Cricetulus griseus: one gene and its partner. Each later gene encodes a partner of the first gene's protein in a complex. Links are inferred from orthologs where the notes say so. Each region holds a gene or a part of one and is shown in the gene's direction. Other genes may lie near its edges.

Region 1 (3,652 bases):
TGCCATGTACATGTTGATGCAATGCTCTTAACCTCTGAGCCATCTCTCCAACCCCAAACTGAGGTTGCGTTTTAAAAGTTAACATGTATGTAGTTTAAACTTAAAAAAAAAAAAAAAAGTTGTTGAGGGTACTGTCAAGATGGCTTAGCAGGAAAGGGAGATTGTTGCCAAACTTGAGTTCAATCCCTGAAACCCATATGGTGCAGAGAGAGAACCAGCTCCAACAATTGCCCTCTCTTCTTCATACGTGTCCATGTGTGCACTCTTCCATGTGCATGAACATGGAAATGTCTAAAAGCAAGTAGTTTCTCAGCAGTTTCTGTGTATCGGGGAGGATGGTAGGATAATGGAACAAGCAAGTTATAGAAAGAAGAGACAGGCAAGCTGAAAGCCTTAACTCTTATTTGCGGTGGTATTCTGGGTCCATTATTTTCTCTCTTAATATTTATGTGTTTTTTTTAAGATTTTTTTTATTTATTTATTATGCATACAACATTCTGCTTCCATATATATATCTGCACACCAGAAGAGGGCACCAGATCTCATAACAGATGGTTGTGAGCCACCATGTGGTTGCTGGGAATTGAACTCAGGACCTCTGGAAGAGCAGTCAGTGCTCTTAACCGCTGAGCCATCTCTCCAGCCCCAATATTTATGTTTTCTAAGAAGGTGGAAGGGTTATTGGGAATATTCCATGTAGGATTGTTGGTAACAAAGGCCTCAGCCCAGTCCTGACTGTAGATATTCAGTACATGATCCACATTCTTGATGGCATTGGGGGCTGTGCTTCTGAGTATGCTGGTAGCCTGACATTGCTTTCTCTGTGCTCTTGCTGCTGTTCTAGGAATGACCATGGACAAAAGTGAGCTGGTACAGAAAGCCAAACTTGCTGAGCAAGCTGAGCGCTACGATGATATGGCTGCAGCTATGAAGGCTGTAACAGAACAGGGACATGAACTCTCCAATGAAGAGAGAAATCTACTCTCTGTTGCCTACAAGAATGTGGTAGGTGCCCGCCGTTCTTCCTGGCGTGTTATCTCCAGCATCGAACAGAAAACAGAGAGGAATGAGAAGAAGCAACAGATGGGCAAAGAGTACCGTGAGAAGATAGAGGCTGAGCTGCAGGACATCTGCAATGACGTACTGGTGAGGGCTGCACTTGTGCTTTTCACACTCATCCTAGGCATCATGGTCCAGATACAAACTCAAACAACTTAGGAAAGAGTGAAAGCCATTTGTAACTTGATCTAAAGAATATGATATAATTTTTATCATCCTTTCTGATCAGTTGATCATTTCTGGGATGTTTTCCTTCTCCTCTCAAAAAGGCTTGCAACAAACATAACATTTCATCAACATTCCTCCATTTTTCTTTAGAAATGAGGCCAGATGGAGAGGTTAGTTAGAAAGATGCAGTCACGAGTGGGTTGCTCTAGGGAGTGAATCGTCTCTGGAAAGGAAGAGATGGAAAGGCCTTTCAGCCTCTCCTTGGTCCTGCCCTCACAAAGTGTAGCAATCTGATGTTGAAGGTTTGGCACATTCTGTCAACTGCAATGTACAGTCCAAAGCCAAACCAAAGGTGGTATGGGGCTTTTCCCGTGTGTTATGTATACTATAGTCAGGTGTAGTTCCTTCTAACTACATGTGGGCTTGGGTGGGAGGGTTGCCAGTCCTAAAACACTTAATGATTATATTCTTTCGCTCATATCTGGAGCACACTGGGAATTTTATTTCCTATGTGAAATCAGGTAAAACTTAACTATGAGGGCTGCTTTAAAGGGAAAGGGATTAACACTTGTTGATTTCCTTCCTGCCCTACTCTCTGTCTTCCCAGATTACCTCCCTTGACATCTTCTTTTGAAAACCAATATAAAGCTTGTCAGCTGTCATGCGCATTCTTCACCCTTAACCCACGGGGTTACGCCCTTCTGCACAGTACTTTAAAACAGCTACTACCTCTTGCATACTTTGACATTGATTAATGAAATCCTTGGTAGCTGAGCTGTGCTTTGAGCCTTTCTCTTTATTAGATTCTTAGTGTAAGATAAAAGTTTCATGGCTAAACTTTTTGCCTGTCGATTGTTTGGGGGTTTGTTAATGGTGCACTAATTCCTGAATGTTAGGTACATCTGGTATTCAGATGAAGTATGGCTTGCATTCCAAAGGCAAGAGAGTTCCATAATTCCTGAATTGTAGACCAGCTTTTAAGAGCATCTGAAAGAGTATGAAGAAGAGCATGGTACTTACTGCCTCTTAACCAGTTTTTCAGGATGCCACATTCTAAAACAACTCTTCGAAAATATTGCTCTGTATACGAAGCTTGGACTCCTTCAGAACTACTTTTGTTGTAAGCATAAATGTTTAAAGGAATTTGTTATTAATAATAGTACTAGACTCTCTGAGTGCTTACTACGTGCCAAGCAACGTGTTAAGCACTAGATGTTACCTCGCTTGTCCTTATAACTACCTTAGAAGGTGGCCATGCTGGTCCCCTTGCCCCTCCCCGCTGTACAACCAAGGAATCTGAGGCTTGGGGTCCTCAGCCTCCTCTCCAGGTCATGTGGAAACAAACAGTAAGCATCAGAAGAAGGTTTTCTTCCCAGGTCAGATCAATTTTAAACTGAGTTCTTGCTGTTTTGTTCTATTGCTGCTTTTTTTTTCCCTTCCCAGAATAGAAAGACACACACACACTCAAAATTACAGAAGTAATAAAAGTTTAAATGGGGGGGGGGGGAGTTTGTTTGTTTCTACAAGATGGACAGAAGAGTTAAGAACTAAAAGTCACTTCTAATGCTATTATCCAGAGAAGCATTGTTCCTAGAATCCTCCAAGGCTTCCCCACATTTTTGTGTGCATGTACCCATGCTTATTTTAATACTAAAGTGAGATTCTTTTGTTGATAGTCTTTTCCAGCTAGATTTGTGTGAGCAATGCAGTTCTGTGCCATCCTTTTTATATCGCATCCCATTGTAGTAGCTGCATTATAGCCAGCCCTTACGGTGGTCAGAGGACTTGTAAGTGAAGGGTACAGGCTTCTGCTCTTAGGACTTGGCTAAACGGTATTTAGTAGCTTGGATGAAAGTTGGTTAGGTTTTTCTGTTTGTTGGTTTAGGGGGTTTTTTTGTTGTTGTTTTTAGTCTTCAGAAAAATCAGTAGTAGTAGTAGTGCATATCTTGAATCGCAAATGTAATTTTAACATCTCAGAAACAATTCAAAATTCTTAATGTGAATCACTTTTTAGGAGCTGTTGGACAAATATCTCATTCCCAATGCTACACAGCCAGAAAGCAAGGTGTTCTACTTGAAAATGAAAGGAGACTATTTTAGGTATCTTTCTGAGGTTGCATCTGGAGACAATAAACAAAGTAAGTAATGTTTTTAAGAAATAGTAGGAGGGGGGCTGGAGAGCTGGCTCAGAGGTTAAGAGCAGTGGCTGCTCTTCTAGAGGTCCTGAGTTCAATTCCCAGCAACCACATGGTGGCTCACAACCATCTGTTATGAGATCTGGTGCCCTCTTTTGGTGTGCAGATATGTATATGGAAGCAGAATGTTGTATGCATAATATAAAATCTTTAAAAAAGAGAGAGAGAGCTGGGCAGTGGTGGCACACACCTTTAATCCCAGCACTGGGGAGGCAGAGGTAGGTGGATCT
Region 2 (3,652 bases), on another chromosome or scaffold:
AAATGTTGGAGTTTGCAGTAACTTTTCAATCAATGCCCGGTGGAAGCTGACTCGGGGCAAGCATGGCTCTACTGGAGCAGGTGGTTACAACGACCCTCTGGAGTTGGCCATGCTCGGAGAAAGCCTTGAGCCACCAGGGTTTCCATTCCGTCCTTGTTCTGGAAACCCTGTTGAAGGGGCTGGGGAAGGGCAGGTGTAGGGACAGAGAGTGTGGCTGGTTAGTTTGGGACCAGGCCAGGGAAGAGCTGGGGCTTGATGGGAGACTCTGGAGACTACTGGGAACAGGTGCGAACAACTCAAGGGGTAGCAGGCTGCTTTGGCATGATGGGTTTGGCACAGGACTATGCTTTAATTTGGGGCTTTATGTGGCCTGCTGACCAGGCCATGGTCCTTGGAGGACAGGGGTGGGATTCTGGTGACCATTTTCTGGTCCCTCCCCAGGTCCCTTTGTACAAAGTAGGGGCCCAGGACAGCGTAAAACTACTTCTGATACTGGAAGAGATGTGGACATGGCAGGTGTGTCATCATCGGTCACACACTAGGGACAGACATCCAGAGAGGTAGGCAGGTGCTTCGTGTCACTGTATATTGATACTCAGAACCTGTTTGGTCTTTCTGCCCAGGTAGAATCACCTAAGATAAACACGCACACATATACACACACACCATGCACAACACATATGCGTGCTCGTACACATATTCATACCCACACATCACCTCATACATAGGTGCTTATGTACACACATGTACACACATGCACACATATGCATATATACAGAACTACCATGCTCATACACATGGACAAACATATAAGTATACACACATGTACACCAGGCAACATACATACATATGCCAGATACATGCTTACATATGTAGAGGCCTACATGTATACATACTTGCATACACACATGTACACAGCATACATGCACACTTTCATACACACACACACATGCTCTCAGACTTGCATATACATGTTATACTCCCCTATGTACTCTCAACATGGGTATATATGCAAATACACATACAATATAGACATATTCACACAAATATACATACCACATAGACAGACAGACATGCATACCCTGACTCTATGACTTTCCCTAACTCACTCAGAAGGTCTGACAAGCTCTCCTGGATTGGGATTCTGGAGGGGAATTGGGGGGCCGCAGCCCACCAAACCCTGTGGGGGAGCTACCATGGTGGGGACTGCTGTGTCTCAGGAGGCCTTGGGCATAGAATTTGTGCTGGTCAGGGTCAGAGAAAGGTGCCCGGAAGGGAGAGGGTAGGCGGGTGTCGCCTCAGCCCGGGATGTGGTTAGGCCATGAGCAGCCTGCTTCCCAAAACCAGAATAGCCCAGAACTTACACAACCCACACCCCTAAACAATCTGGCTGCCTTGCCCGCCTCTTCTGTAAGCTTCACAGATTTCCTGGCTCCCTATTGCTCACACAGCAACCCTGAGCCCACTCTGTGTCCCCCAAATGTCAGCCTAGGCTCCAATCTCACAGTGTCAACTTACTGATCTTTCAGCAAGTCTAACCCATGCCTGACCCACTGACCTCATGAACCTGCTCACCCTTGATTCATCCCTGACGCACTCAGGCAACTCCCCTGGACCCCACCTTTTTCCTTCCCAGAACCTCTCTGTGACCCCTTCTTTCTAGAATGCCAACAGTGCTAAAAAATTAAAAAAAAAAAAAAGGAGCAGACGCAGGGAGGGAAAATGAGTCAAGAGTGGGGTGCCATGGGTGGGCAGCTTCCTGGGGTCCCTGCTCACTCACTCCCAGACCCCACCATCTCTCCCAGGACCTTCTTCCCAGTCTCTAGTGCAGCTTCCCCCAGTGGGACAGAAACCATTTCAATCTCATGGAAGCTTTCCACCTCCACTGGTCCCTGTCCCACTTCTGCCCAGCTCGGGGACCACCATATCAAAAGGCCTATCTTGAGTCCTTAATGTCATTTGCTACCCTGTGTGTTCCAATTACAGATTTCTTCACCAACTACCGCCCCCCGCAGATGCCCACATCTTCGAACTTCCTGGAGCCACCCAGCTTTGGCCCCATGGCTGACTCCCTCTTCAGCAGTGGGATCCTGGGCCCAGAGATGCCATCTCCAGCCTCCTCTTCCTCCTCCCCAGGGACTACCCGCCTACAGGTGAGTGTATCCTGTTATGAGAAGCCTGCCTAGATGGGACAGGAATGTGTGCATGGAAGGAGGATGGGAGTGTGTGTTTAGGCAACTAAGTTGGCATCTTATTTCTAGAACACCTGTACCTGGTTCAGAAGTCATTACCCTGCAACTGTTAGGGTCCTGTTCCAGTTTCATTTCTGTTGTTATGCTAAAATACATTGAGGAAAAGCAAGTTAGAAAGAGAAAAGGGGTTTCTTTCAGCTAACAGCCCCAGGTTACATACAGTCCACCAGTGTGGGGAAGTCAAGGCGGGAACTTCAGTCACACCACATCTACAGTCAAGAGCAGAGAAGAACAATTGCCGGCATGCTCGCCTGCTTACTCATGTTCAGCTCCATTTCTTTTCTCTGACACAGTTCAGGATCCCCTGCCTAGGGAATGGTGCCACCCACAGTGGGCTGGGTCTTTCCATATCATGGAATCCCCAATAGACATGCCCACAGGCCAACCCAATGTTGGTGGCTCCTCGCTGAGACTCTTCCCAGGTGGTCCTAGGTTGTTGACAGTTAATACTAACCACCCCAGTGTCCTTTTCTCCTATCATGGAACTTTTCACATGCTTTTGTAGTTTATTGTGAGAGGTCTCTTTCCTCCGATGGGCTTGGTGGGGCTGTTTTGGCCACCACTACATTCCTTGTACCTAGTGGTTTCCACACACAGAGTGTCATTCAATAAATGGTTGCCTGGTGAGTGAGTGAATGAGAACACAGTAAATGGAGAGACCATTATAGCCAGTGGTGTCTGCATATGAGGATTAGTGGATGTAAAGTAAAAGGGTCTGGTGAGTAGCTGGGCTGATGGGTGGATTCCCACGTAAGTAGTTTAGTAGATTGATTGAATGAACCATGGGCTGGCGCTACATGGCTTTGTGAATGGATGAATGATTTGTTACATCAGTGGGTGGTGAATGTATAGATGGGGTGTGGATGGGTTGATGGGAGAATAAAGAGTTTAGACGGTTGGATCTGTTGGTAAATGGCTGACTACCTGTGGGCTAGAGTGGTAGTTAGTCTCTCATCACTGCTACACCTAGGAAAACAACCTCAGGGAAAGAGGTATTTTGCTCATGGATTCAGAGGCTTGAGTCTATCATGGGGGAGGAGGTGAAACAGCAGAGAAGCTAGGAAGTAAAGACAGAGAGACGGGTGCTGGGGAGGAAGGGTGCCTTCACTAGATGACTTCAACCACCACGTGCCATGTATTCATCTGAACTCCCAAATGATCAACTTCGTCCACGGTGTGCTCCCCACCCCAATCAATGAACTTACATCCACAGTGTGCCCCCCACCCCAAACAATGAACTTACATCCACAGTGTGCCCCCCACCCCAATCAATGAACTTACATCCACGGTGTGCCCCCCACCCCAAACAATGAACTTACATCCACGGTGTGCCCCCCACCCCAATCAATGAACTTACATCCACGGTGTGCCCCCCACCCCAAACAATGAACTTACATCCA

Evidence for each region. Proteins that work in one complex are often made in the same cells at the same time.
Region 2: the proteins of Ywhab (region 1) and Mlxipl are in contact, whole or in part, in a crystal structure (PDB 6YGJ), measured with the Homo sapiens proteins. The link is inferred for Cricetulus griseus from reciprocal best matches to the Homo sapiens genes YWHAB and MLXIPL. Residues at the interface, in NP_003395.1 of Homo sapiens: Gly55, Arg58, Ser59, Trp61, Arg62, Ser65, Ser66, Gln69, Lys70, Arg129, Val178, Tyr181, Glu182, Asn185, Leu218, Gln221, Leu222, Asp225, Asn226, Leu229, Trp230; in NP_116569.1 of Homo sapiens: Asp118, Ile120, Arg121, Asn124, Ala125, Trp127, Arg128, Ala129, Trp130, Tyr131, Ile132, Tyr134.

What each region holds. Positions count from the first base shown.
Region 1 is NC_048599.1:15,508,074-15,511,725, reverse strand, and holds part of Ywhab (14-3-3 protein beta/alpha), read left to right. Parts: intron 1-844; 5' UTR 845-846; coding exon 847-1,146; intron 1,147-3,241; coding exon 3,242-3,365; intron 3,366-3,652. UniProt on the Homo sapiens protein: Adapter protein implicated in the regulation of a large spectrum of both general and specialized signaling pathways. Binds to a large number of partners, usually by recognition of a phosphoserine or phosphothreonine motif.
Region 2 is NC_048597.1:114,201,623-114,205,274, forward strand, and holds part of Mlxipl (carbohydrate-responsive element-binding protein), read left to right. Parts: intron 1-1,986; coding exon 1,987-2,153; intron 2,154-3,652. UniProt on the Homo sapiens protein: Binds DNA as a heterodimer with MLX/TCFL4 and activates transcription. Binds to the canonical E box sequence 5'-CACGTG-3'. Plays a role in transcriptional activation of glycolytic target genes. Involved in glucose-responsive gene regulation.